Mus musculus: one gene and its partners. The protein of the gene in region 3 purifies or fractionates together with the protein of the main gene of each other region. This does not show direct contact. Links are inferred from orthologs where the notes say so. Each region holds a gene or a part of one and is shown on either strand. Other genes may lie near its edges. The genes, in order: Osbpl11, Prkaca, Vapb, Vps13a, Wdr44, Aftph and Akap11.

Region 1 (4,256 bases), on a different chromosome or scaffold from region 3:
CAAGTCTGTTGGAATCTATTTCCACAGAAGACCAGCTTATACTAGCCTCACAGGCCTGACTTCCCACTCACAGCTGCCCATTGTTGGGTTAGTTGGACTACAGACTGTAAGTCATTACAATAAATTCCCTTACTATATAGAGACACTCCATATGTTCTATGACTCCAGAGAACCCTAAGACAAGGATTATTTCTTTTTTTTTTTTCCGAGACAGGGTTTCTCTGTGTAGCCCTGGCTGTCCTGGAACTCACTCTGTAGACCAGGCTGGCCTCGAACTCAGAAATCCGCCTGCCTCTGCCTCCCAAGTGCTGGGATTAAAGACGTGTGTCACCACACCCGGCTAAGGATTATTTCTTAAGTACACCAGTGTGGTTCTTTCAAGTAGTTGTTACCCAGGTTAATCATGCCCACCTGGTAGAGGTAAACTTTCCCTGTGCCTAGACAAAGAGTTAATGGCAGGCTGGGCCTTGCAGATGGTTGTGGTCCTGCATTGCCCCTGTGTCTTGTTTTAGGAATGCTCTTTGATGGGTATAATGGCAGGTTGTCTCCTTTTGCTGTGGGAGTGGAGCCTAACTGGAGGTCAAGCTGAGGGGATAAACAGTAAGAGAAACTTCTTCAGAGACCCCAAACTTCAATTATGGTAAAAGTTTTCTTTCTTACAGTTTGTAACAAACGTGGCAATAAACTACTTTTCTTCCAGTGTTATTGGTCCTTTTTAAGTAAGCTTATTAGTAAATCCTTTTTATATCAATCTACTTCAAGTTTCTCCAGCATCACCAAGAGCTCTAATTTCCAAGACAATTTCCTTTTCTTTAAGACGATTTACCTTAGTCCAATATCATGTTGGGTTTTTTGTTGCTCAAAAATGACTGATCAGTTATTTTTCCCCACTTTGTTCTGTAAATTCTTATTTTTTTAGGTTCCCTTAAAAGGCAAGGAATGGGGCTCCCCAAGAGAGTATAGGACCTGTTTAGCAAGACCGTTTCATTCCCTTTTTCTCCCTCCCTCCCGCCTGCTGCCTCTTTCCCCACTGCTTCTTTCAGCTCCTTCTCTCCCTTGAGGCTCCGGTCACCGCCTCCTTTCGGGATCGTCTGCCCCAATCAAAGATGGCGCCGCCGCTTCAATGCTAGCGGAAATGAGCTCACACGACACCGGAAAGGAAGGCGGGGAGAGCTAGCAGGCGGGTGGGTGACCGGCTGTGGGTGGGGCGGCGGCCCGGGCCCTGGCTCTGGCTTTTACGTTTAGGGCTAAGGAAGCTCCAGGGAGCGGTCGGCTCCTGTGAACTCCGTGGGGCTCCAGGGCTAGCGCTCTCGGAGGAGGCCACGGTGAACCCCTCGCCTCCGGCCCAAGCTCAGCGGCCTCGGAGCCCGCGTCCTGCCCGGCGGCGTCTGCCCGACCCTCCGCGGGCTTCGCGCGACCGCTCCGGCTCAGTTCGGGGCTGCGGTGGGAACCGCGGAGCTGGCTGGACAGGGCCCTTTCTCCCGAGGACCCGGCTGAGGAGAAGAAGCGGCGCGGCTGGCCCGACCCCCGAGTCCTGAGGTCAGGCCGTGGGCTCCGGGGCTCCCGGGCCGTGGACCCCGTCCTTGCCCCGCGTTCCCAGGCAGAGGATCCGCGACCTCGCCCGCGCCGCCCGGCTGCTCCTCGGAGTGTGGCACCGAGCCCTCTGGCGGGGTGATTTGTCCTCCTTGTTCTTGCTCGGGAGAGGCATCTATCTGAAGGGTACCCGTGCTCTTTAAAACTTTTAACCAAAGTGGAAATGCGTGTCCTCTTTTTCTGGACCACTGTCGATTTCCACTCTAGCCGAGGTCTGAGATCCCGTTGAGAGTAAAAAAACGAGAGAGAGAAAGGGGGAAAAGTACTTACAAAATAACTCTGCACTTGGTGTCCCTCGCCCGAGAAGGGCAGATGAACTTTGGAGTTAAGATGCAGGGAGGTGAGCCGGCATCGGTGATGAAAGTCTCCGAGAGTGAAGGGAAGCTGGAGGGCTTGGCCACAGCAGTGACCCCGAACAAGAACAGCGGCAACAGCAGCTGTGGGGGTGCCATCAGCAGTAGCAGCAGCAACAGCAGCCGCGGTGGCAGTGCGAAAGGCTGGCAGTACAGGTATGGCCCTCCAAAGTGATGTTCTGGGGTGGCTCGGAGTGTGATGGGGTCTGCATATCCCAGTTGGAAGGCCAATTCCAAAGCGGCTGATGATCTGACTTGGAGATAGAACCCTGCTTTCGTGAGCAGGATTGACTTTCTTCAGAAATTCATTCAACAGGTAATTTTTTGAGGCCCTTTGAGGAATTCAGAAATGTACCCCAGAGTTTTCTCGATTATCCAAGGGCTTATTCTTCCTCTGATTTATCTCTACACTCACTTCTGGTTTTTGCCTCTGTTGTAATCTGTTTACAAGCAAGCCTGAACGTCTCTTAGAGCAGAAACTGTGGAACTCAGCGCTTTGAGAGGCAAATGCTGGTCTTCAAAACTTGTGGAATGATTCGAGTAACAAGAGTCAGAGAAGATCTTATCCTTTGGTTGCTTGTGACTTAGAGAAGGGGAGGGACTTAAATACAGAGGCTGATAAGCAGTAGAGTGTAATCAGGCTACTTGAAAACTCTTGAAATTCTACATTTGTTAGTTTTTTTTTTTTTTTTTTTTGGTTTTTTCGAGACAGGGTTTCTCTGTGTAGCCCTGGCTGTCCTGGAGCTCACTTTGTAGACCAGGCTGGCCTCGAACTCAGAAATCCGCCTGCCTCTGCCTCCCGAGTGCTGGGATCAAAGGCGTGTGCCACCACGCCCGGCCATTTGTTAGTTTTTATTAATGTAAATGAAAAACTTGGAGAAATATCAAAAGCTTCATTTTGGTGCTTTAAAAAATATATGTATAAAGGGTTTGTAAAACAAAAAAATATATGTATATGTATGTATGTGTGTGTGTATATATATATATATATATACATATATATATATATAGTATAGGGAGAGATTACTACCCATAATTCTAAGAATGAATGGAATTAGGGCATCCTATAATGTTGGATCTACACTGATGAATACTGAAATTTTGGGTAACTGCTTGTATGTTTAATTCTAGTTGGTTTTGTTTGTTTGGTTTGGTTTTTGATTGTGTTAAACTCTTTGACTACACTTGTAAGACTTGGAAGGGGTAGGAACCAAGATGTTGTGAAAGCTACATATTTATCATGAGTACTATCCATATGTATGAACTGCGCGTGTGTTACAATATGCAGATGTGGGCTGGGCGTGGTGGTGCTCTCTCTTAATCCTGGAGCATGGGAGACAGGCAGGAGAATCTCTGTGAGTTTTGAGGCAAGCCTCATATCTGCATAGTAAATTCCAGCACAGCTAGGACTATATATCACCCTGTATCACCTAATATGCAAATATATGTCTATGTGAAATATGCAGGCATGAACCTACAGAAGTGAGAAGAGTAGCTAACTTTGTAATTGGCAATGGGGATTGAAGTCAAGTCAGTGTAACTCTCCCCCTTTGTGATTTTTTTCATTTTATTTTTTTATGGGTGTGAATGTTTGCCTGCATGTATGTATGTATGTATGTATGTTTGCATATGTGTGCACTGGCTCTATTGAATCTAGAAGAAGGCATCAGATCCTCTGGACCTGGACTCATCATGGAGCTGCCACATGGGTTCTGGGAACCAAACCCAGGTCCTCTGGAAGAGCAGCTAGTGTTCTTAACTGCTGAGCCATCTCTCCAGCCCCTCTCAATTTATGTGTTAAGATGAACCATAAGAAAATTCTTTTTTGTGGGGATATTTTGATATCATTCAAGGAAGTAAGGAAAAGTTCAAGATAACCAGAGGTCAGTCTTATAGTAGCAATTCTGAAAACCACTCTAAATTAAAGTGAAAAATGAAGTAGAATTAGAGCAAATATTAGGTGCTCAAAACTCATGGTCTCGCCGGGAGGTGGTGGCGAACGCCTTTAACCCCAGCACTCGGGAGGCAGAGGTAGGTGGATTTCTGAGTTCCAGGCCAGCCTGGTCTACAGAGTGAGTTCCAGGACAGCCAGGGCTATACAGAGAAACCCTGTCTCGAAACCCCCCCCCAAAAAAAACAGACCAAAAAACAAAACAACTCGTGGTCTCCTTTTCTTGGCTTCTCCCCCAGGTTTAGAGTCTAAAGATGTTTAAAACAAAATAATAACAATTACAAAAAGTGACCTAATCCTTTACTGCTTCTCAAACAACTCAGGCCATTTGCTCTGTCCCTACTAAGGAACAATGAGTA
Region 2 (3,802 bases), on a different chromosome or scaffold from region 3:
GAGTGACAGGTTTTTGCCACCACCTCTGGTTCCTAGAAGCTAGTTCTTTTTTTTTTTTTTTTTTTGGTTTTTCAAGACAGGGTTTCTCTGTGTAGCCCTGGCTGTCCTGGAACTTACTTTGTAGACCAGGCTGGCCTCGAACTCAGAAATCCGCCTGCCTCTGCCTCCCGAGTGCTGGGATTAAAGGCGTGCGCCACCACCGCACGGCTAGAAGCTAGTTCTTATGGGTGTAAATCCAGAGGAAGCGTGCAGAATTGTATAAGAGCTTTTGGAGGTACATGACTGGGTGAACCATACAAGCTATTTTATCCAGGCTGAGGAACTACCCTTATTTTCGAAGCCCTCGGAGCCCTCAGAGGAGCTGCCTGAAGGATCCCAGCGAGGATACAAGTCTGCAGACCTAAGAATGGAACCTCCTACAGTTCTGTTCCCTGCGACCTTACCCAGAATTCCCGAGCCAGCAAACTAAGGAGGGCATTCAACATGTTTTTTTTTTTTGTTTGCATGGCCACTGGGCCTAAAGGCAGAGCCCTGTGTATGTTGGGCTCCGACCTGCCCCAGCGCTGTAGTGCTAGCTCCAACAAGCCATCTCTGTTTATATTTTATCTACTTTAATTTGTGTGTCTGTATGTGCATGTGTACACATGCATACAGTAACCTTGGAGGCCAAAGGCATTAGATCCCCTAAGAATGGAGTTACAGGTGGTTATAGGCCAATGGAGGTCCTGGGAACAAACCAGGACCTTTGCAAGAACAAAGCCATCTGTTAGTGCAGCAATGAGTTTTTGGGTTTTTTGAGACAGGTATTCTTATGTAGCCTTGGCTGGTCTTGCCGTATAGATCAAGCTGGCCTTAAACTCACATCACAGAGATCCACTTGCCTGACTGGATGCTGATGTTGAGATTATCTGTGAGTGCCACCGCACTCTAACAAGCCATTGTTTTGTTGTTTTTTGAGTGTTTCCCCCCCCCCCCTTGGTTTTTTTTTCTTCTTCTACTTCTTCCTCTTTTTTTTTTTTTTTTCTTTTCGGAGACAGGGTTTGTTTGTTTGGCCCTGGCTGTCCTGGAACTCCCTCTGTAAACTAGACTGGCCACAAACTCACAGAGATACACATGCCTTGGACTCCCAAGTGCTGGGATTAAAGGCATGGGCCACCACTGCCCAGCCCCACAAGCCTTCTTAACAGATTCTCCCTGTAGGCCTATTGGATAGAACAGGTCCTAGTCTGCCAGGTACAGTGGTACATACTCTACACTAGCACTCAGGAGGCTAGGAGACAGGATTGTGTGGTTAAGGCCAGTTTGAGCTACACATTAAGATCCTTTCTCACCCAGTACGGTGGTGTACACGTTTAATCCCAGTACTTGGAAGGATAGGTGGATCTCTGAGTTTGAAGGCAGCCTGGTCTACAGAGAGTTTCAGGACAGCCAGGGCTACACAGAGAAACCTTGTCTGCGGTATCAGAGGAGGGGGTGGGAATTGTGTCAAAAATGGAGAAGGTGGCATTCTGGACCCCCAAAGCCTATGAGCAGCGCCCCACTCGTATCTACACCCCTTCCAGGTGCGGTTCCCATCCCACTTCAGCTCTGACTTGAAGGACCTGCTGCGGAACCTTCTGCAGGTGGATCTCACCAAGCGCTTTGGGAACCTCAAGAACGGGGTCAATGACATCAAGAACCACAAGTGGTTTGCCACGACTGACTGGATTGCCATCTATCAGAGAAAGGTGGGCTTCTTTTTCCCATACCCAAAGTTGGACTTACGGCTAGGATAGCATAGACAGCCCATTAAGTTCCAGACTAAACAGAAGGCTTCCTCAAGCCAGTAAGGGACTATACATGGTGGATACTGGGTTTTTCTGGCCACTTTGTGGTCTTAGGCAGGAAATATCCTCTGGGAAGTGACTTCCATTTGATAAGTTGGGTTGCAGAGAAGACCTTAATGTTGAGCTCAGGCCTGGGTCACAGCAAGTGTTGTTTGAATATTAAGCCATTCACCTTTATTGTTGTGATGGTAAGGTCAGCTAATGTGATCTGGGTGGTTTTGATTCCTATCCAGGTGGAAGCTCCCTTCATACCAAAGTTTAAAGGCCCTGGGGACACGAGTAACTTTGACGACTATGAGGAGGAAGAGATCCGGGTCTCCATCAATGAGAAGTGTGGCAAGGAGTTTACTGAGTTTTAGGGGTGTGCTTGTGCCCCTTGGGTTCTCTTTCATTTTTTCTTTTTCTTTCTATTTTTTTTCCGGTTGGGGGTGGGAGGGTTGGATCGAACAGCCAGAGGGCCCTAGAGTTCCATGCATCTAATTTAACATCCACTCCACACCCCCAGGGTTAAGGAGAGCAGGAAAGCGCTCCAGATACTGGGGAAGGGGCAACATCAGCTGCTCCCCCTCTCCCTTCTTCTCCACCCTTCCCTGCCTGTTTTCAATGAATTTCTTAGCTCCAGCCATACCCAATCTTGCTGGTGTATCCAGGGGCAGGGTACGGAAAGAGGGCCCCAAATTCAGCCTCCTTCCCGACCCTAGCACTGGATACTAAGGATGAACGAACAGTAACGCCAACCTTCCCTTCCATGCAGCCCTACCTGGAAAGGGAGATTTTATGACCTGTACAGAGGGCTGCTTGCCAGTGGGGTTTTTTTTTTTTTTCATTTAAATTAAGTTCCACCAGTGCCTCCCACCCTCCAAACTGTCCCACCCTCCCCAAACACCCTCCTCACTCCCTAAATCCATTCTGATGAGACCCGGGTAGCCAACTGACCCTGTCAAGGAAGGAACTGGGCTTGGAATCTCGCCCTGAGCTGCTAGCCTCCCGGCCCCCCTTTCCAGTGGTCTCATGCCAATTGTCCTGTGCATCAGCCCCCTTAAGAAGCCTCCCCCATCCTGGGCGCCTCGCTTCTAGCTTAGCTGTCAGCTGTCCATCACCTCTTGCCGTGCGTCCCCACTCACTGCAACCCCAAGTCTGATTGTGCTTTTTCTCTCAATAGAAAGGTGGGGAGCTGCTGGGGAAATTACCCCATTTATCCCTGTGTTTATCCCTCTCGTAACTTCTCCCAAAAAGGAGGAGCTCTCAGGCCTGGGTGGGGGCCCCGGGTGGACGAGGGGGTCGTTCAACCTGTGTGCTTCGAAGGATGAGACTTCCTCTTGAACAGTGTGCTGTTGTAAACATATTTGAAAACTATTACCAATAAAGTTTTGTTTTAAAATAAAAGTGTCGCTGGTTTTCCCGACTTCGATCACACCCTTGGGGTGTTGGAAAGGGAATTTCGAACCTCAATGTCCAGGTTCTGGAGACCCCGGCCTCGGGACCTTGGAGAAACCAGGTTTGGCTGGAATTCCTGTACTTCCTCCGCCTGGCCAGAGAAAGGAGGGGTGGGGTGGGCAAACTGTCCTTTGACCCTGAGTTCGGGGCCCTCAAATCTGCTCCCACCCCTACTTCGGTCTAGTCCGGGACAGAGAGGGCACTGGAGAGGGCCACTCGGACCGGTTCGGCCAAACAGCAGCAGGATTAGCAGGGTAGGAGAAAAGGGGAGCCCCGCGCGCCCCCAAGCCCTCATGTAGGCGCGGCAGGGCCGCTGGTGAGGTCTCCGCGGCTTCCCAGGAGCGAGGCGCGTCCGGCCGCGGCGCGGCTAGTTCCCGGTAAGTGCGGTCCCGAGAGCGCTGAGCGCGGAGAGGCGTGGAGAGGGGGCTGGGCGCCGAGGACGTCTGGGTCCCGCGCCCAATGGCTGGAGGGCGGCCGAACGCCGCCCGCGCGCCCCGCCCGCCCCTGTCCCCTCCCCCCTGGGCTCCCCTCCCCCTCCC
Region 3 (3,818 bases):
GAGGAAGGAGGGATAAAAATGAAGGCAATTAAAGAACAAAGAAGCAGGGCCTGTTCAGAGACAGAGCAGATGCTTAGTGTGAACAAGACCCAAGCTCCGTCCTCAGTAAAGAGGGAAGAACAAAGCTGACCAGAGCTACTTCCGCTCCGCAGAGGAAAGCAACAGCGGGCAGTATCACTGGGGGGGAGGGGAGGGGCATTTAATGTTAGGCAAACCCTTCCGGGCATGAGGGCTGGAGACAGGCCAGAAGCATCCACTCAGGATAGAGCACGCCGCTGTGGTGCAGGAGAGGGAGGAGAAGGTCCACAAGAGCAGAGAATTGAAGCAAGTTCAGTTCATCGAGTCAGAAAAGAACAGCCATGTAAAATGTTAAAGCTATTCATCAAAGTTGGGAAAGTGGTACAGGGGCCTGAGTGTACACCTCCCTAACAGCACCCGCCATGGCTGCCCTAGCGGGCTGGAGAGAAGAAGAAGTGTTCGTACTTACTACTGCCTCCATATCAGAAGTGTCAGGCGGAGCAAACATAGACTGAACCATAAACTTGTGTTTACTTTTCTCATTGGGATCATAATCGAAAGGCTGTAACATCACTGAGAAAGAAAATATTTCATTAGGAGGGTCACAATGTGGTTATCGGAGTCGTTTGTCACGCTAGGTCTTACACTGTGGAGGAAAACAGCTCCCCAGCTCTCCCATCTGGACCCTGAGGAAGGCCGTGGCCAGCAGAGATGTACAACTTCCCCAACCCCCATCTTTCAGGTCAGCAGTTAAGGCCAGAAAAACTGGGGCCTGTCCCAGCCTCACAGCAGGTGCCAGCTGAGCTGTAGGTGGGTCTGGAACTTGGGTGCCTGATTTCTGATACAAAGATTGTGCGCTCACACAGAGCCACCCTCACCTATCTCACAGCTCTCGCTGAAGACATAAAATGGGAGAAACACCAAAGTCCTATTTTTCTCAAGGAAACATTGCCAAATGATCTTTTCGAGAAAGAAAACAGAATAACTCAAATCATTTCAGGATGGTTTTCACTTCTCTCCACCCCATTTCCCACGCAGCTCATCAAGGTAAGGCTTGAAATATGATTTTGCCAATAGAATTCTGGAGACGGCATAAAAGCTGGATTTGCCACAGCAGGAAAAGCAATTCCAACTCCTGCCCTACCCCCACCCAGAACCCAGAGGGAGCTCACCCAAGGCACCCCGCTGTACTGAGGGAGTCTTGTATTCTGATTCACTTCCTCGGACCTGTTTCCCCATGACTCAGCCAGGCCCAGTTATAGGAGGGCTGCTATACTCTCTCTGCTGCACAGCTTTAATAAGCTTTGCCCCTAGTGGCCTTCCCTGAAACCTAAGTTCACAATCAGGGGGCACCTCAGAGTCAGTGTGGGCCTTGCATCTCCAACCAGAACCTAGGCTCCTGCTCTTCAGACTGCCATTACCCCACTCCATCCGAAGAAGCAGGCGCTGCTGTGGGAGGAGGGCATTATTCTGCTGTCTATTTTTCTGATTAAAACAACAACAACAGCAAAATAAAAAACAGAAAAACCTGAAATAGAACCCAGTTTCCTTAGTCCACAAATGCATGCACACGCGCGCACACACACAGGCACGCACACACGCACACACACACACAGGCACGCACACACGCACACACAGGCACGCACACACGCACACACACACACACAGGCACGCACACACGCACGCACACACACAGGCACGCACACACGCACACACACACACAGGCACGCACACACGCACACACACACACACAGGCACGCACACACGCACACACACACACACAGGCACGCACACACGCACGCACACACACAGGCACGCACACACGCACACACACACACACACACACAGGCACGCGCGCACACACACACACACACACACACAGGCACGCACACACGCGCACGCGCGCGCACACACACACACACAGGCACGCACACACGTACGCGTGCGCACACACACACACACACACACACGCACACACACACATAGGCACGCACACACACACAGAGGCACGCACACACACACACACACACACAGGCACGCGCGCGCACACACACACACACACACACACACAGGCACGCATGCACACACACACAGGCACGCACACACACACACACACACACACACAGGCACGCGCGCACACACACACACACACACACACACAGGCACGCACACACGCACACACACACAGGCACGCACACACGCACACACACACACACACAGGCACACGCACGCACGCACACACACACAGGCACGCACACACGCACACACACACACACACACACACAGGCACACGCACGCACGCACACACACACACACACACACACACACACACAAACCCAAAGGTCTGCCCCACAGCTCCTGCTACTGTGTATCAAAGGATATCAGGCCTGCCTTCTGCAGTCTGTCCCATGAGAAGTTTCTCCTTCCTAGATAGGAGGAGATAAAAGGCTAGGAGGGGTTCCTGCCTGGCTGAGTCCAGGCTTACATTCATTCCCACACTATGGGTCCGATTTGCCTGTAGTTGGTAGCCCACACCTTTAATCCCGCACTCTGGAGGCAGAGGCGGAGGCAGGTGGCTCTCAATTTGAGGCCAGCTTGGTCTACAAAGCACACGCAAAGCCTGGGTCAACCCTAGTATTGAAAAAAAAAAAAAGAAGCAAAACAAAGAAAATGCTTCTTGTCTGCCTCAGAGCTGTCTAAAGATGCTGTTAACTTCCTGTCTGGGAGACCCACCCACCACGACAGCGGTGCAGCGTACTGAATGAAGCAGACACGAGAAGCAGCCTATTAAGACGTCAGATTTGCAGAAGCTGTCAACAACGCCAGCCTTCCAATTTCTTTGAGAATAGCTACTTTCATAAAAAGTATTACTACTAACATGTAATTGACGGATTGTAATTTTTAAAGAAATTAGTCATTTAAAAAATTTTAATATAATAAATATCACTACAGCTCACAAAGACCTGCTACACTCTTTGGGGTCTTCAACTGTCCCTAACACAAAAAGTTTAGAGACTACACAGGAGCACAGCTGCCACATACACTGCCTTCCTGGCCCTCTCTAGAGGGAATCAACTGGACTAGTGCCTATGGGCCCTTTCTATAGGCAACCTAAAGAGAAAGGAACTATCTGCACCCATGCCTGAGCCACAGGGGCAGCTTTGAAGGCAGCACTGCATATGATCCCTGTGCTACTCTGAGTAAGCATATACCTCAAGACCTCAAAACCGCAGCTTTGCCTACAACCATCACCACCCCACTCCTGGCCTACAGCATCATGGTCGACAGCCTCACCACCTCACTCCTGGCCTACAGCATCATGGTCGACAGCCTCACCACCCCACTCCTGGCCTACAGCATCATGGTCGACAGCCTCACCACCCCACTCCTGGGCCTACAGCATCCTGGTCTACAGCCTCACTACCCCCATTCCTAGACTACAGCACCCTACTGCTCAGCCCCATAGTGGAGAGCCCAGAGAAACACTTGATGGCAGGGCACACAGGCAGGCCTAGTGGTGGCCAGTCACAATTCCTAAGTCAACATACATCAATGTTCAGGGCCCCAGTGAGGATAACCAGAGAACCTCAGCCCAGAATGGGAACCAGGGCCTCTGGAGTGCTCTTCTAAGAAGCTCTGGGTATAAGGTGGAGACTTGCCCCTCCCCCACTGCAGAAACAAGAAGAGAAGCAGCTGTCTGCCTCGCACTGGCTGTCCTTTCTGTAGATGACACTCTACAGACCCTTGGTACACCTAGGACCCACCCCCCGCCTCATGGAGCCCTTCACGTACACCACCGA
Region 4 (4,605 bases), on a different chromosome or scaffold from region 3:
TATTAGTTAAGTTTGAGGGGTGGATTCATGGGGGAGGGGGGACCATAATAAAATGCTCGAGACTGGTTCTTATAGACAAAGTAATACATTTGGCTCAGTTTTGCAGGCTGAAAATTCAAACAGCATAGCAGCAGCTATGGTGAAGATCACACACACACACACACACACACACACACACACACGAGAGAGAGACAGAGAGAGACAGAGACAGAGAGATACACACACAGAGACAGAGAGAAAGCTCACAAAAAGAAACTGAAAGCTAAGGTGAGAGGCCACTGTGCCTTGTTAGGCCTACATCTAAAAGATCCAGCACCTCTTATCAGTGCCAGACTAGGGGCTAAGCTTCCAACATAGAACTTTTAGGAGACACAATCAGACTTTAACCAAATCCTATCATTTCACTTCTCATAAAGTTACATATTTACTTACCACTCACAATCCCACTGCTAGGCATTTACTCCAAAGAAATAATTTATGTTCACACTAACACCTGATGCACCTTGCCCTTTAACTGCCAAAAAGGAAATACTGCAAAGATGGCAAACCTGTGTCTATAACAAGCCCTAACGTCCTGCATACATCACCTTGTCCTGCCATTCCCGTGCTTCTGAGCAGGACAAGGTGATGTATGCAGGACGTGAATGACGCATGGACGACTTCTCTGCATTCTGTTAAGAAGCCTGACTCAAGCCGCTACACAGAAGCTGAGTGTGATGGCACAGGCCTTTAACCCCAGCACTCAGGAACCAAAGCAAGAAGATTCTAAGTTCCAGGCCAGCCTGGGCTACATAGTGAAACTGGATCTCAAAAAGAAAAAAGCTACAAAGCCAAAGGATTCAGTTTATAACACTCTTAAAAATAAAAGCAAACCAGCAGACTGTGAACAGATAAGTAACTGCCACTCGAGGAAGAATCAATTACAAAGAAAAGAAGTGGGAATTTCCTAGGCTTATAATCTTTTTGTATCATTATTGAGATAGTTGAAACATTCTTAAGGTTTATTAAAACAAAACTATTCACAAGACTCAACTTTATTCTAGGTAAACTTTAAATACATAAATTTGGTGAATTATAGTTTACACAGCCTGCACCTTAAATGTACAAAACATTTCACTACAAATCAAACCACTGTTCAAGTAACGTTTTCTTGTTCATTTTATTGTTTTCATCTGTATGTATGAGTGTTTTGCCTGTGTGTATGTCTGTGCACTACACGCTTGTGTGCAGTGGCCCCTAGAGCCAGAAGAGAAAGGCAGATGCCCTGGGACAGATGATTGTAAGCTGTCATGTGGACACCAGGCTTGGATCCAAGTCATCTGGAAAGGTAGCCAGCGCTTTTCACCACTGAGCCATCTCTCCAGGTACCAGCTCAGATATTCTTCCAGGCTTTTTTTCTGAGCTACAGAGTTTTGTTATCCTCACTCTGCAACTGAGAAGCAGCGCAGACTAAGCAACTTGCAAGTACCTGATCTCAAAGAGGCTGTGCTAGCTCTTACAGATCAATTGCCCACGTTATCGTGGAAGAAGGTACCTAGCTACATTGAGGGCTTGTTTGTTTAATAAAACTAAATTACTTGTTTTCATTATTTCAAAAATGAGAAGGCTCAAGATAAACGAGAACTTTTAGAAAGTTTTAAGTAAGTACATTATCAGAGAATGCACACACTATTTACACAAATAATTAACCCTAACTTTGGCCTGGAACGTTCATTTCAAAAAAGGCCTCTACTTGCTAATAGCTACTTAAAATAAACAAGAGTCTAATGCAATACAGATGGAAACACTAAAAATAAGACACTGTATTAGGTAAATCATTGCAGTGAAGGGGTAGATGCAGCCCTTCCCATCTAAGCAACAGAGAGGAGTGCTCATCACGTCTTCGTCAGGTCCGAGAAACGGAAAGCCCAAATTACATTTTGACCGTCTGTTTTCCTGCATTTTCTTTTCGTTCTTTAAAAAAACAAAAAACTCAGGTCTTACAAACACCCACATTCCCACCTGGTCAGGCTGCGACCTGAAAACCTAAGTAACTCTGAGATACTCTGAAAGGGGCTTTCCTTTCCTTTTATTCCCCCTGTCATTTGCCTGTCCCAGCTAAGCAACACCCAAGTCCAAGTTCAGTGGCCGGACCGGAACTCGCCTAGAAAGCACGGTGAAGTGGGGCAGGGAAGGGACGAAGGGTGTCTTCGCGGACGGCGCCTGGTCTTCACGTGCAAGTCGGCGTGCGACTCCCCGTGGGCTCGCCGGAGCCTTCCTGACAGCCCGGGGCCAAACTGCCAGGGATGCCTCCCTTGCCCAGCGGAGGCCAAGGGTCACCAGCACCCGGCCCCACCGGGACGCGAGGCTTCAGCCAGCGCCTCCCCCAACCTCACGGCTCGCGCCGCCCGCCCGCCCGCCCGGGAACCGCCGCCCCGCTTTACATAACTTGAAGGGCGAGGCGGGCAGCTGCAGGTGGCGGCGCCGGGCTGGCCAAGGACCGAAGCCACGAGAAACCGCGCCGCCGTCTCCCGCGACCCTGGAGCGGCGACCCCGTTACCTTTCCAAATGCCCAGGGAGAGCTGGGACTCGTCCAGGTTCACCACATAGTCTCCCAGGAACCGGTTCAACACTTCCACGACCACCGACTCGAATACCATTTTTTTTCCTCTCTGCCGCGGAGGGCACCGCGGCACTACCCGGGCTGCTCCTCCCTCGAGACGGCTCGGCTTACCGGCTCCCGGCCCGCTCCAGCTACGGTGCGGGTGCTGCCGGGTCCCCTCAACCCGACCGCGAGCCCCACAGAAGGAAGGTAGCCGCTCGCACCACGCGTGCGCAGCTCGGGCTGCGCGTGGGGGCGTGACCGACGCGGAACTGGAGGCGCGGCCGGGAGCGAGAGTGAAGGACGGCGGCTGCGCAGCCGCGGGCCCGCCCTTGCCCGCGAGCGGACCGCCGGGCCTCTCCCGCCGGCCGCGCCTCCTATCCGTCGCTTAGCAACAGAACACCAGTCGAGCGCTGGAGACCCCGCCCCGGAATGATTCTCCTTTTTACCCGCAGCGAACTTTCTCTAGGAGGCGGGGCGTGATGATAACCGACAGGAACGCCGCTTCCGAAAGAGAAAACTAAGATCGCGGGATCCAAAGAGTGGAGAGTGTACAGCTTGGTGCGAGGTTGCGGGAAGTTTCCTGAGGCAGTTTCCCAGGACGCTTTTCCCCCATTATTACCAGTTGTGAGGTTCGGCCAGCCTTGGTGCTTGGGTACTTCCTGACGTTCTCCCTTCTCCTGGCAAGGATGCGAACTGGCCCTTCAGTTGCCTTCCCTTACTTCCTCAGCTACTAATCTGTGCTGAGGAGGGGCGAGGGAGAGTAAAGTTGGGAGATAAATTCCAAGTTCTTAATGTGCAACTGCTCTTGGCACCTTTTTCCGGTCAAATCATTTATGTGAAAGCCGCCAGTCATGTTAAAGAGTAGCACGTTTGAGTCAGTCCGGAGACAGCAGAGAGCCTGCCAAGAACCAAGAAAGACACCTCTGAGCCTTAGTGGCCAAGCTAAAATAAGTAGTGTCTCCGCTCCACGCTTGGACTTAGAGAAAATTGGTCCCAAAGTCCTGAGGTCACAAGACAGAGGTGCAACTTACAGAACCGACATTAATCCTCTGAGGATTTCAGAGGCAGCAGTACACTTTCAACTTTCTCTTCGCAAGGCACATCCTGATTTGGCACTGAGTGTATTTTGTGCATAGTCATCAAGTATCTCAAATTTATTTCAGAAAAAAAAAAGAGCAAAAATAGTGTAAACTTTTTTAAGCTTTTAAAGAATATATTAGCATATATTTTACAAAATAATGGGTTTCATTATAACATCTTGATAAATGTGTATATTTTGGTCGTTTATTACCCATGACTCTTTCTTGTCCTATTGACTGATTCCTTCTTCCCAAATAGGACCCCTTCTGTTTTCATGGATTTTTCTATCAAGATTCTAAACCTTCATCCATGTTGGTTTTTTTTAATGAGTTTTTATTTAGCACAATTTTAAATTTCATTTGTGTGTGTGTATAAGTGTTTTCTACATCCGTACCTGGTACCCTCAGGAATAGCTCTCTGGTTATTGGCGTTACAGGAGGTTGTGAGCCTCCATGTGGGTGGGTGCTGGCAACGGAGTTCAGGTCCTCTGAAGCAAATGCTATTAGGCAGTGTCGTCTCTTGAGCCTATTCTAAAATTTGATCCCAGAGAAGATATAAAACACTGGACTGCTTCTCCTATGGTCCCCAAGGACAAACGCAGATATGATTCCATCAAAGTTCACGTTGGAGAACCAATGAGTTTGTTGGGCTTCCTTAAAGAGCATATCTGAGGACTTCGTTATGGGAGTGTGGGTGTGGGAAGTACTTACCCAACAGGGATGAAGGCTTCTCCATTGTAGCTTCATAGACAGAACCCACTCTTCTAGTCTTCCCCATCCACAACCCCAGTTTGTCAGTCCTCAAACTGTGGGTATCCACAAGGGTCCTGAATAAGCCTTTCACAGGGGTCGTCTAAGACCATTGGAAAAAGAAAGATATTTGTATTACAATTCATAGCAGTGGCAAGATTAGAGTTGTGAAGTAGCAACAAAAATAACTTT
Region 5 (3,818 bases), on a different chromosome or scaffold from region 3:
ATCAGTAAGCTCTCTCCCAGAGTTGGATCTAGGTCTCTGAGGGCCCATCACTTCACCTGCTACTGTCTGCACATCAGGTGCTTTTCCATTTTCCTAAAATTATAATTGTATAAACAGACAGACTGAAACAATTTCTATACATTTTAGTTATTCATTACTATGAGCACTTCTATAAAATTCCACAAATCAGATAAAAGAGCCTACTGAAAATTTAAAGGACAGATTTTAGTTCTTTATTATCCTCTGCATGCTGAAAGACATTAGACACCAAAACTACTGCTATTCATGAAATCATGCCTTATTATTATTACAAACAAATAAATGTTTTATTTGAACCTATCCAAAACAGCAGTTCTCTATTAAGATTGTAATTAATTCAGGCCATATGTGGATATTGCTAAAGAAGGGTTAGGACAAGTTCTGTTTATATAAAAATCTAGACAACAAATATGTTAAAATTTTTACATACAGTTGTCATTGCATATTCTTCTATATTAAAAAAATTTTAAAAAGGCAAACACAAAATTCTACAAAAAACAGGCTATTTATAACCTCTATTGTATTGCTATAAGATGATAATGTCACATTTCCAGGTTTGTTAACCCCCCTCACGTCAGCTACTCTATAAATTATCCAGAGTTCCAAAATTTGGCTGTGGTAAAATGCTATGCAGTATTTTTGTATAGCCAACAGCCTAGTACATGATTTTTTTTTTTTTTATGTATAGTAAAGGAAACTTACAGCATTAAACACAGCAGCAACCATTTTTATAAATACACACTTGGCATATAGTAGCACATTTTATTCTTGCAGAAAACCTTCAAGGTGGGCCATTTCCCTCTGTTTTATCAGTGAGGCCTCTAAAAATCAGAAGCTAAATAGCTAGCTAACCTCACTAAACTATTTAGTAGCCAAGCTAGACATGGAAGTGGTCAGGTGTTGGGAACAAAGAAATATTTTGCCTAGAGAAGAAAGATAGTTTCAATAATTATATCAGACAGTTATACAGTTTGAATTCTCTGATATCAAATATAACAGTAATTCACCAACCTGGGCAGTTACTATTTTATCTCCACTGGTAGCACTTGCTAAATCGAGGGAAGGCAGGGAATCTCTAACTGTATTCTCTGAAGCCATATTTGTAGTTAGCAGAGAATCAGATGTAATATTTTCTTTGGGTACTGAAATGATAATAAAACTAATAATAGTAATAACAAAAATGACAATGATATTTATAACAAAACAATAATATCAACAATTATATATATGCATACATGTGCACGCACACACACACACATATACCAAGTGCTTTTAACCTTTATTTAATTCTTGTAACAAGACTGTAAGAACAGTGTCTTTTTATTTTTAGAATATAGTAGAGTGTATTCAGGGCATGGAGAAGGGAGGAGAGAGAGGGGGAGAGATGGAAGGAGAGAGAGGGGGAGAGATGGGAGGAGAGAGAGGGGGAGAGATGGGAGGAGAGAGAGGGGGAGAGATGGGAGGAGAGAGAGGGGGAGAGATGGGAAGAAAGAGAGGGAGAGAGGGGGGAGGAGAGAGAGGGGGAGGAGAGGGAGAGGGAGAGGGAAGAGGGTCAGCCATGAGTGTGTGGAGAGAGAGGGGGGAGGGGAAGGAGGAGAGGGGGAGCAGGAGCAAGAACAAGAGAATAAGAGCAAAACAGTGGCTTTTATTACTTGTTTTCCTTATTGAAAAGCCATGGTTCAAGACTACAGTTTATACATTCAAAGATCTAGGATTTAAATTTATATTATAAGTTTTTTAATTGCATTTTCTTTCCACCATTGCCATATAAATTCTTAGAATGTAAAAGATATCAGAGTCTAGAGTTTGCCAAGATATTCAGTAATATTACTATAACTTATTACCTTTCACCTTTTGTCAACTTATTCAAGAAATAATTTATATAACCTAGCTATCTGTGTTTTTTTCTTTAGCACAAACTGAAACAAAAGCAGAAAAGTTAGCTGAGAATCATGGCAAATGACTATGCTTGGGAGGTATAGGCAGAAGGATCTCTGTAAGTTCAAGGGTAGCCTGGTCAACATAGTAAATTTCATGCTAGCCCGGATGACATTAAAAGACCCACTCTTACTTCTCCCCAACCAAAAGCAGAAACATTAAAGTTTCAACTCTCATCTTTCCCAACCAAAGTATTTCTCTATTAATACTTGCCATCCAGATCAGGTGTTTTAAGAGCCTCAAACTCCAGTTCGCTTTTCTTTTTTCTTGGTGGTGGTGCAGGTCGAGATGGAGGTGGGGGTCTAGGAGGCGGGAAATTAGTTGGTGGGGGTGGGCGCGCAGGAACAGGCTTCTTTGTACTGGCTACTATATCAGGTTCTGGAGTAAGGTGCCTTGGGGGTTTGGCAGGAGCCACTTCTTCCACAGCAGCAAAATCTGTAGTAGATAAAGTGTCCAAGGAGGCAGGATCTAGAACATCACCTTCTTTGACTTCCAATGCTTCCTTGTTCAGTGTTTCAGCTTCTAGTCCAGAAGCATCAAGCTGCTCACCTGAACTTACTTCAGTTAAATTATCAGTCTCATCTACTGTCTTCTCACTTTTCTCACAGGTCTCATCAGAAGGAAAACATTTTTGTGTTTCTAGTTCACTTTCTTCAGCTACATTCTGACTTTCTGCCTTTTCGGAATCTTGTTGTAGTTCATGCTCTATGGCTAATAGTCCAGGTATGTTACTAAACTCTGTCCCAGCCACAGAAGGACCTGCAGTAGCCTCATCAGAAAGTCCTTTTCCTTTGGAGTCCAAAGAGTCATCTTCCAATTGTAGTACTTTCTGACTTTCCTCAATAATACTTTCAATTATCTAATGAAAGGTTAAAAAGCAGTTTTAAAAATAATGAAGCTATTTACAATAACAAAATAATAGATAATTCAGCACATGTCAGGCAATGTCTATAACATTTCATTGAATTTAATCTTTACAATAACCTATATGAGGTTTCACTTCTAATTTCATCATTTGACATATGAAGGAACTAAAGTATATATGGACCATGTAATTTGCCCTAAGTTTTAGAGTGAGACAGTAATAAAAGGATCATAAATCCTGAAAGTTTGCTTTCAGAATCTATACTCTTAAACACTATAATAGAGAATCTATATTAAAATAGTCACAAAAATTCAGTCAACCTTGTAAGGTGAAGTCATATATCTTTTCATGAAGACTCCAAATGTCAAGAGTTCATTTACATAGCGCTGCCACACTAGTTACAACAACTCCCTGATATCTCTAGTTAACAAAATCCACCTAGGATAAGAATTCAGTTTGTTTCAGTCTGAACTCAAGAGTATAGGAGGCAAGCCAGAAGGTGCAAGGTGATGAACACTCTTGAAAAATTATAAGCAAGGTTTCATTCCTCAGACTGAGGACAGACCTATGAAAAGAGCTCAAATATCAGCCCACATTGCTCCTACTCCATTTCTCATGTCTAAGAGAAAAAAATACACATAGGTGATCTATATCCTTAAGTAATATTTAGAAGAAAATATATCTTCTACCCAGCCTTTTAAACAATTTATTAATTTTATTTTATATACATTGGTGTTTTGCCTGCATATATGTCTGTGTGAGGGTGTTGGATCCCCTGGAACAGTAGTTACTGACTGTTGTGAGCTGCCATGTGGGTGCTGGCAATTGAACCCAGTGCCCTTAACCTCTGGGCCATCTCTCCAGCACGCCTCTTCTACCCAGTGTTGTCCTTACTAATGCATTAAGTCCCCTGATCTATTCATTCTTCTAATGTGCCAACCATGGATAATTTCTACTTTTTCAATTCCCCAGCTCC
Region 6 (3,818 bases), on a different chromosome or scaffold from region 3:
ATAACTTGTAAGCGTTAGTACAAATGTTGTGTTTTCTAGTGTTTGAAAATCTGGCACTTACTATATTTGTGTCGGTATTTATGATCTTAAAAACTAAGACTGTGACTTGGACTGGTTTAAAACTTACTAATAATAAATCTTGTTTTGTATTTTATCTTCTTATTTTTAAAAATTACAGATTATTTCTTCACTGTAGCCTAAGAATGTTAAGTAACAATCTAAAACATGTCCACTTTCAAGTTTTACAAATATAAAATGAAAGACATATTAAGAAAAATAAGCCAGCATGTGTGATTACGCGTCTGTATAAATGCATAGCCACTTGCATACACATGGACAGCTTACCTGGAATGGATCAGATGTACACGTGTTTATTTCTGGTGTCATAACGGTTGTCTGACCAATAGAAGCAATTTTTTCTGCAGCAGATAGTGGTTTTAATGGTTCCTTGGTGGGCTCTAACATTCCCTGAAAAAGATATATTAGTCATTAATTGGAAATGGATAGATACAAAGCTTATAATAATGGCAATGTAAGAGAAAAGAAAAAATTCAAATAATATATATATATATATATATATATATATATATATAAAAGATTATTTTAGAATAAAATGTTTTGAAGTCAAATCTATTTTTTTAAATTTTTAATATTTATTTATTTATTTATTTATTTATTTATTTATTTATTTATTTATGGTTTTTCGAGACAGGGTTTCTCTGTGCAGCCCTGGCTGTCCTGGAACTCACTCTGTAGACCAGGCTGGCCTCGAACTCAGAAAGCCACCGCCCAGCTTCCATTTTTTTTTTTAAAAAATATTTATTTATTTTATGTATATGACCACACTGTCCTTGACACTCCAGAAAGGGCATCAGATCCCATTACAGATGGTTGTGAGCCACCATGTGGTTGCTATGAATTGAACTCAGGACCTTTGGAAGAACAGTCAGTGCTCTTAACCGCTGAGCTATCTCTCCAGTCCCAAATCTTCCATTTTCAATAATATTTTATTTTATGCTACTTAAGACACTAATATTAGCCAGGTGGTGGTGGCGCACGCCTTTAATCCCAGCACTTGGAAGGCAGAGGCAGGTGGAATTCGAGGTCAGCCTGGTCTACAAAGTGAGTTCCAGGACAGTCAGGGCTACACAGAGGAACCCTGTCTCAAAAAGACAACAACAACAAAAAAGACACTAATATTATATGAAAAGGCAATTATTTCTAACATAGTGGTATGTTGAAAGCATATGTCTTTTAGTGTGAATTTAATATGTTTAAATCTGAGCTGGTGTCTCAGTACTTAGATTCTGGGTCTGGCAAAGAAAGTATAGACAGACTGCCACTTCAGAGGGCAAGACACTGTATGTACTCCACTGGATCTGAAACAATTCAAACATACTTTTTTAAAGTAAAAAATGAAAATATTGTAGATTGATATGGAAACAAACAAGCAAATCATTTGGTATCAAGGTTCTACCAAATATGGAAATAGCTAACTCAGGTTAACAGCACAAAGCAGCAAGGCTTTGACATATATAAACCACAGCTGAGGTCCAGGGTAAATGTTTATGCTTACATCTTCTGGAGACCAGCCAAACAAAACCAAACAACCTGATGAGCTCTGAAATATTTATTGGTTTATATTTCATACAAAAATCATTTTTAACTATATGTGTGCATGTGTATATGAGATCAAAGCTACTAACCAGTAATTTCAAAATCTGTACATTTCTAAAACTGCCTTTCAGGAGACTCCCTACTCTCACTGAGGTAGAAACTAATAAAAAGCAATTTACACAATGAACTCCTCTTCTCCCCAACCTCCCAATTCCTAATGTTACTACATGTGGCAGGCCTCCTTCCATGCAGTAGAAGATGAAAGTAAGTTCATGGTCAAAGTGCTACACCACGTATATTAAAATATGCCTTAAATGCTTCTTAATTCGAACTACGATTTAAACCAGTGGTGCCCAAGTTGTGGTTGCCAATCAACAGCACCTAAAACCTGATCAACTGTATAAATTCTCAAGCTCTGCCTCGGATTATAAAAAAGCTTAAGATAGTGTGTCTTTTTGATTTTTGTTTCCTCTTTCTTTTTCTTTTTGAGACAGAATTTACTCTGGGCAGCCCACGTTGTCTGTAGATTAGGCTGGCCGGCCTTGATTTTAGAGATCCCCTCCCTAGTACTGAGATTGAAGGTATGCACCACCAAACCCCACCCACAGAAACCTGTGTCTTAAATCTTCCAAATGACTCTGATGAAGTTGGAGAACCAGACACTGAAATGACTATTTCAGGTGCAGTCTTCCATCTGAGATGCACCACAGAAGAAATAGAGGTGTCGTTAAGCTTTGTATCAGAGACATCACTGGAAAAAGCACTGGCCTGGCAAGCATGAGGGGCCTTACTTAGTTCACTGCTTACTCAAGTAAAAAGGGAGGCATGGTGACACTTGCTACAATTCCACTACCCACCCATAAATCTATTTATATTCACTAAATACATTTAGTGTTTTAAAACCTTAAAAGTAGTAAGTTTTTTATTATTACAGGCAATAAAGTTCAAAAATGAAGTGTAAGTTTTACTACCAACTCCTTAAAGCCAGCTAACGTGCATCAAGAAGCTACTGCTGGCAAGCTTACCAAATTATCTACAAGTCCCACTTAGACTAAGAGACTACACAACAGCCTCTGGAGTCCTACTGTCTGAGAAAAAAAGAAATCCAAGTAACCAACAAGTTAAAGAAAAGTTCTGGACTGTATTCATCTAGAACAGAGAAGCATACAATACAAGGTAAGTAAGTGAGCAGCAACTAATTTAAAAACAAAACAAAACAAAACCTCAGGCACAGAAAATTCCACAACAAACTGAAAAAAATCATAATGTTCCAGTTCCATGCCAATAAAATTAGAGCCTACTCACAGAAAGTAAGCTGTGGATAAAAACAAAACAAAACAATTGTACTTTACAGGCACATATAAGTGGTAGAATTTAGACTTCATTTTACAGTTGCTTTGTTGTTGTTACTTTGTTGTTCATTGAAACAGGGTTTCTTTCATGTAGCCCAGGCTGAACTTGAGCTAGCGTGAGAGAAGGATGAGTCTGAGCTCGCTCCCTCCTGACCCTCCTGCTTTCACCTCTGTAGTGCTGGGATTATAGGTCTGCACCACCACACTTAGCTTTCTTGAGTTTTTAAACCACATTTTCCCCTTACATTCAATTTACTCCTTATAATAACATGAGATTTTTGCTTAATAGATAGGACATTTTCATTTAGCAATAATTCACCCACAAACACCAAACTTTATACTATAACTCAGAGGCTGGGCAGATAGCTGTGTTTGCTGTGCAAACCTGAAGACCCGACCGAGTGCAAATCCTCAGGACCCACCTAAAAGATGGGTGCAGTTAGCTGTTCATGCATGCCTGTAATCCCAGCATTGTGAATCCTGGACAGAGAAAGCTGGGGCTTGCTGGCCTGTAGCCTAGTCCAGGTTCAGTGAGCAATCTGCCTCAAAGGAATAAGGACCCAATGTCCTCGCCTTGACCACACATGTAGACCCACTCCCCACAAGAGGCAAAATGTGACTGAATCTTGTTAAAGAAGCATTTTTCATTCTATTCTTTAACAAGATTCAGTCACATTTTGCCTCCCATTTGCTAGAACTAACTGGAATATCTGGGAAAAAAAAAAAACCACATTAACAATATTAATGGAAACGGTAAGGTCCTGGCTTATTTCCATATATTCTAATTTGGTATTTTCATGTTCCTGTGGACATCCACAGTCTCAATGTTGTTTTATTTAAAATTAATAA
Region 7 (4,587 bases), on a different chromosome or scaffold from region 3:
AAAAGAAAAATGCCAATTTCTTCTCTGAACACTCCAGACGCCCAGTCCACAGTCAGCAACAAGACAGTACACAACATACTTCTGCACCATAACTGCCATCTGCCAGCTGGAAACCAACAGTTTACACATGTGCATCTAGAATTCTCACGGTAGCACTATGCCCATTATATAAACTGTTTTAAGCAGCCTGTCCAACCTAACAAACCCAAGATAACCTGTCCTGGAAAGGGACCACTGGACGCAGTTTACAACTCTACATAGCTGAGACCAAGGGAAATGCTGGGCTTGGGGGAAGAACTCCAACTCCAAGATACTACAGTACACCATAGGTATCCATCATCTGCTCCCAACTACAGACCTCCCATGTTAAAGACCTTGCTGAAGCAGTCTGAAAGGCTCAAGTCCTTTTTAGGACTACAGTGTGGCTCCCCACCCTCCATCTCCTAGTCCCATCTTCCTAATCCACACTACAACCAACCTGACAAGAAGTAGAAAGCTGACCACGACATTCTCTCGATACACAGACATTTAGAACTGAGAGTGGAAGAGCTCTGTTAGGAACCATGATGCAAAGTCAAGGTGGGTCTGATGTGAACACTCTTACAAAGCAAAGAAAAAGCCCAGGAGGTCTCAGGAGAAGGTCAGTGTTTGACAACTGAAGAGAGCATGCAACTAATAGCAAAGAACTAAGAGAAAACTTGGTGCATTTCAACCTCAAGACTTCCCAGTCTCCAGGCCACTGAGCTAGAATCACAAACTGGACCTTAGCATCAGTGCTCCAACAATATGACAAATGCCTTTTTCTTTTTTTTTTTAAGATTTATTTATTTATTATATGTAAGTACACTGTAGCTGTCTTCAGACACTCCAGAAGAGGGCATCAGATTTCGTTATGGATGGTTGTGAGCCACCATGTGGTTGCTGGGATTTGAACTCGGGACCTTCAGAAGAGCAGTCGGCGCTCTTAACCACTGAGCCATCTCGCCAGCCCCAACAAATGCCTTTTTCAAGTAAGCTAATTCTAATGGCTTTTTGATTCTGGCAGCCAAATAATCCTCAAACCATTAAGGAAGGTCAAAGAAAAAGCTCCCAGTAAGCAGAGGCTAATCCAAAATCTCTCCGCTTCCTCCTTCTGTCAAGTCTAGTCAATAATCCACACAGTCTAAATGCTTATCTCCAGGAGGTCATGTTCAATTAATTTCTTTCTGTAAGCATGAACAGAAAAAAATGAAAATATATGGATCTGCCCCATTTGCTTTTAAGATGGTAAAGCATGTTTTCCCTGTGCCAGAATGCCAGGGTATGCCCAACTTCACACAAGCTAAACTCAAGAGTTCTCTAACCTGGCTCAACACTCATTCTCTCTGAGTGGCTAATTTTTTATTTATTTATTTATTTATTTATTTATTTATTTATTTATTTAACTACTGGGGCCACTTCACAAAAAGAAAAAGAAAAAATGAAAAAAAAAAAAACAAAAAACAACACTTGGATTACCTAAGTAATTGCTCCATCCAAAGTTACTTCAATTGCTTTCCAAACACAAGACAAAGCAACCATTGCTCTAAAAGTCTGAAACCCTTGCCACAACTTAGAAAGACTAGCAACAAAGATGAGTGGAAGGGAACTTTTGCTAACTCCTTTGCCCACTCACCTAAGTTTTTCATATCTCCCTGTGTGACTAGAATTCCCCTATTTATAGCTGGAAATTTCCCTTTACACAACCTGCTGCATTATGATCGGAATTGGCTGAGTTCCTTTCCCAGACACTAAGTCTTTGGAATTAAAATAAAATGTACCATCCTTTCTCCCAAAGGATTTTCTTCTGTTTCCCTGACGAAGCCCTGGAATTCAGAGGCTTGAGAAGGCTAGCAAATCTCTCACTACAGTTCTGGGCCTCCAACTTCAGAATCTTCAACAACTGAGAAACATCACTGGGCACAGAGTATATACTGCCAATTCCTTTCCAGGCAGATCAGTTGAGCAGTTCTGTAGCTATCTACATTAGCCACAGCTCAGCTTATAAACCCACGTCTTCCCCAATTCCCTCATATCCCTTCATCCCTCATAAGTCAGTTACTAACTACACAACTAATTGCTTAATTTACTGCCAACCTATGATTCACAATCCTGCCTGGAAAACACAATCAAGTATGAATAACCAGGTTATTCCTTGAAAAAAATGCTTCTATAGTTTGAAAGATTAGGTGGGACTATTGAAAATGACATCAATCATACTAGGCTGCCTTTTACCAGCACACACACCAACACATACACACACACACACCAAGCAAACACAAAGACATTAAAACAAAATCACCTTTGCATGAATAAATACTCCATCTTTCCTGATGCCCTTATTTTATATATTTTCATACATAACAAAATTGAGTACCAATATAAATAACACTGCTAACAAGGTGAGAAAGATGCAAAGGAAAACAAGCGATTTAGAAGCAAATGGATAATCACAAGGCTATAAAAGAACTGCGAATATTAACTCCAGTATGCGCCAAGGCCATTAGCGATGTGTCTCAGCAGTATTGCTCACCGCAAAATGCCTTAATGCCTAAAGCTAAGCCACCTCCAACTAATAGGGTTTTTTTTTCTTTTCTTTTCTTTTTAAAGACCGTAGGCAGAGCTAAAGGACTGTCACCAAGCTATACCAGGGGTTTAGACTGTACTGTCACTGTGGTCTGGCCAGCCCATTTTCTATTTGATAGCGCAATTCGGATGCTTGGCCAGCCTGGAGGCGACGTGACAGCGATGCAAACAGCGGCATCTGGGGTTAGGGCAGCGCCGGGGACCTGGGTTCGGACGCTGACAGGGAAGGATGCTGCTGCGGAGGACAAAGTGCACCGTCCTCCCGCCCGCGCCCCACGCAGCGAGGCCACGGCGCCCGGCCGCAGTCTGGACCCGGCCCTCTGGCTCCCGGTTCCCTGCCCCGCTCACCAGGCGGCACAGCCTCTCAGCTCCCGGGCATGTCAGCCTCCCGTCACGGCCCGCAACGCCCGGTGGCGCGAGCCGCAGCGCAGCGGCGCTCCCCCTCGCCCGCCCCAGCCCGCGACGCCACCGCCGCCGCCTCCCCACGCCGCCCACTCACTCTCGCGAGAGCCGTCGCACCTCTCGCGAGAACGACCCCGTGGCCGAGCCCGCGCAAAAGGAACAAGGGGTGGGGGGAAAATATCTTCCCACGTGCTCTGGAGGGCAAAGCTGCGGGTCGCCCGTCACGTGACGCGGAGGCGCCCTCTCCATTGGCCAGGCGGCCCTCGGCCCGTGGGAGCTTTAAACCTCGAGCTGACCTACGAACTCTCGGCTGACGTCTTGCGCGCTTCCTGGTGCGTTGCCTTGGGAACGGCTTAACCCTTTCCTCTGGCAAGCGCCCGAGCCCAGGATGCTGGCATCCCATCCGCCACCCTTAGACCTTCCTGGGGCTGGTTTCCCACAGCCAGTGGCAGCCCACGACATCAGGGGTCCAGACACAGCCCATCCTTCAGAATGGGTCTGCCCGGTTCCCAACATCATCAGGGGAAACCACTGAGGAAGCCTTGGGCCCAATCGGAACCTCTGGAGTCAGTCTAAAGGGCAGTGCACTTCCCAACCCCACGGGCCATTGAAATTGGAAAATAAGGCTTTGACCACCAAGAAGCCTAGCCTTGGGTGACAAGCTGTGTGATTCCTGTTTAAATCAGAGGAATCGGTGCAGTCATGTTGCATGGTCTCCTCAAGGACATACGGTCCTCAAACTGGCCGAGAGATGAGAAGGACATTTTGAAGTAGATGCTCCTTATTTGTTTTATCCTCTTTAGGGGAGAGAGACAAGAAAGAGTACAGTCATATCTTCGTTCTCTTCAACAGCTTTTGGCTGCTTTCCTTACACGTTTTAGGCATAATTCCAGGTTGTCTATTGAACACTATGAAGACAAATAGATTAGGTTGTTGAGAGCTGGGGCCGGGTTGGGGGAGGGGGTGGATATCTGTAGGTGTTAACTCGCAGATTATCATCATCTGATGGTGGTGGTTACAATTGGGCCACTGCTTGGGGGTGGTGCCCTTGTGGGAGGAAAGATTCAGGCAGTGATTTGGATAGCAGCCCTACATCGCTAGCAGAAAGTAGAATAATTCACAAGCCCCAAATCCGGATCTAATCTAGCACATTTGAATAACAAGAAATAAACTTGGGATGATAATAGAGGCTAGATCCCTTACTGCTTCATCAACCAAGAAAAGAACTGGGAGTTTAGTCTACAATGAAAAGCTTTGACCTCTTAAAGGGGGGAACAATAACAATTAGTTTAAAAAAAAAAACAAAAAACTAGTAAGCTCTTCCCTGTAGAGAGTGAATTTTACGGAAGCTGAAACAACAAGGAACTCGTCCAGGTAAAAGACAATCCTGTGAGAACCAATTTCCAATGACCTTGACAGTCTCCAAAATGTGTTAAGTCAGAGCCCTAAGCGCTGGCTGCTGACTTGTATTTAAAATATGTAGATTTTTTTTTTTTTTTATCATTTTGTTGTTTTAAACTACTTGAGAAGCGAATGGCCTGAGAGGCCTCTTGCCTTTGGCTTTCTGTCCTCCATTTTCAC

The links.
Region 1: the proteins of Vapb (region 3) and Osbpl11 purify together in Homo sapiens (affinity purification with mass spectrometry; 4 studies listed by BioGRID and IntAct, counting the BioPlex papers as one, with this or other methods). This does not show direct contact. The link is inferred for Mus musculus from reciprocal best matches to the Homo sapiens genes VAPB and OSBPL11.
Region 2: the proteins of Vapb (region 3) and Prkaca purify together in Homo sapiens (affinity purification with mass spectrometry; 4 studies listed by BioGRID and IntAct, with this or other methods). This does not show direct contact. The link is inferred for Mus musculus from reciprocal best matches to the Homo sapiens genes VAPB and PRKACA.
Region 4: the proteins of Vapb (region 3) and Vps13a purify together in Homo sapiens (affinity purification with mass spectrometry; 3 studies listed by BioGRID and IntAct, counting the BioPlex papers as one, with this or other methods). This does not show direct contact. The link is inferred for Mus musculus from reciprocal best matches to the Homo sapiens genes VAPB and VPS13A.
Region 5: the proteins of Vapb (region 3) and Wdr44 purify together in Homo sapiens (affinity purification with mass spectrometry; 4 studies listed by BioGRID and IntAct, counting the BioPlex papers as one, with this or other methods). This does not show direct contact. The link is inferred for Mus musculus from reciprocal best matches to the Homo sapiens genes VAPB and WDR44.
Region 6: the proteins of Vapb (region 3) and Aftph purify together in Homo sapiens (affinity purification with mass spectrometry; 3 studies listed by BioGRID and IntAct, counting the BioPlex papers as one, with this or other methods). This does not show direct contact. The link is inferred for Mus musculus from reciprocal best matches to the Homo sapiens genes VAPB and AFTPH.
Region 7: the proteins of Vapb (region 3) and Akap11 purify together in Homo sapiens (affinity purification with mass spectrometry; 3 studies listed by BioGRID and IntAct, counting the BioPlex papers as one, with this or other methods). This does not show direct contact. The link is inferred for Mus musculus from reciprocal best matches to the Homo sapiens genes VAPB and AKAP11.

The regions. Positions count from the first base shown.
Region 1 is NC_000082.6:33,183,899-33,188,154, forward strand, and holds the start of Osbpl11 (oxysterol-binding protein-related protein 11), read left to right. Parts: upstream 1-1,172; 5' UTR 1,173-1,905; coding exon 1,906-2,102; intron 2,103-4,256. UniProt on the Homo sapiens protein: Plays a role in regulating ADIPOQ and FABP4 levels in differentiating adipocytes and is also involved in regulation of adipocyte triglyceride storage. Weakly binds 25-hydroxycholesterol. Interacts with OSBPL9 to function as lipid transfer proteins.
Region 2 is NC_000074.6:83,993,233-83,997,034, forward strand, and holds the end of Prkaca (cAMP-dependent protein kinase catalytic subunit alpha), read left to right. Parts: intron 1-1,562; coding exon 1,563-1,727; intron 1,728-2,059; coding exon 2,060-2,185; 3' UTR 2,186-3,212; downstream 3,213-3,802.
Region 3 is NC_000068.7:173,768,294-173,772,111, reverse strand, and holds part of Vapb (vesicle-associated membrane protein-associated protein B), read right to left. Parts: intron 592-3,818; coding exon 488-591; intron 1-487. UniProt on the Homo sapiens protein: Endoplasmic reticulum (ER)-anchored protein that mediates the formation of contact sites between the ER and endosomes via interaction with FFAT motif-containing proteins such as STARD3 or WDR44.
Region 4 is NC_000085.6:16,778,131-16,782,735, forward strand, and holds the start of Vps13a (vacuolar protein sorting-associated protein 13A), read right to left. Parts: upstream 2,804-4,605; 5' UTR 2,640-2,803; coding exon 2,540-2,639; intron 1-2,539. UniProt on the Homo sapiens protein: Mediates the transfer of lipids between membranes at organelle contact sites. Binds phospholipids. Required for the formation or stabilization of ER-mitochondria contact sites which enable transfer of lipids between the ER and mitochondria.
Region 5 is NC_000086.7:23,755,458-23,759,275, reverse strand, and holds part of Wdr44 (WD repeat-containing protein 44), read right to left. Parts: intron 2,837-3,818; coding exon 2,191-2,836; intron 1,182-2,190; coding exon 1,051-1,181; intron 94-1,050; coding exon 1-93. UniProt on the Homo sapiens protein: Downstream effector for Rab11 which regulates Rab11 intracellular membrane trafficking functions such as endocytic recycling, intracellular ciliogenesis and protein export.
Region 6 is NC_000077.6:20,703,366-20,707,183, forward strand, and holds part of Aftph (aftiphilin), read right to left. Parts: intron 469-3,818; coding exon 346-468; intron 1-345. UniProt on the Homo sapiens protein: Component of clathrin-coated vesicles.
Region 7 is NC_000080.6:78,533,760-78,538,346, forward strand, and holds the start of Akap11 (A-kinase anchor protein 11), read right to left. Parts: upstream 3,102-4,587; 5' UTR 2,953-3,101; intron 1-2,952. UniProt on the Homo sapiens protein: Binds to type II regulatory subunits of protein kinase A and anchors/targets them.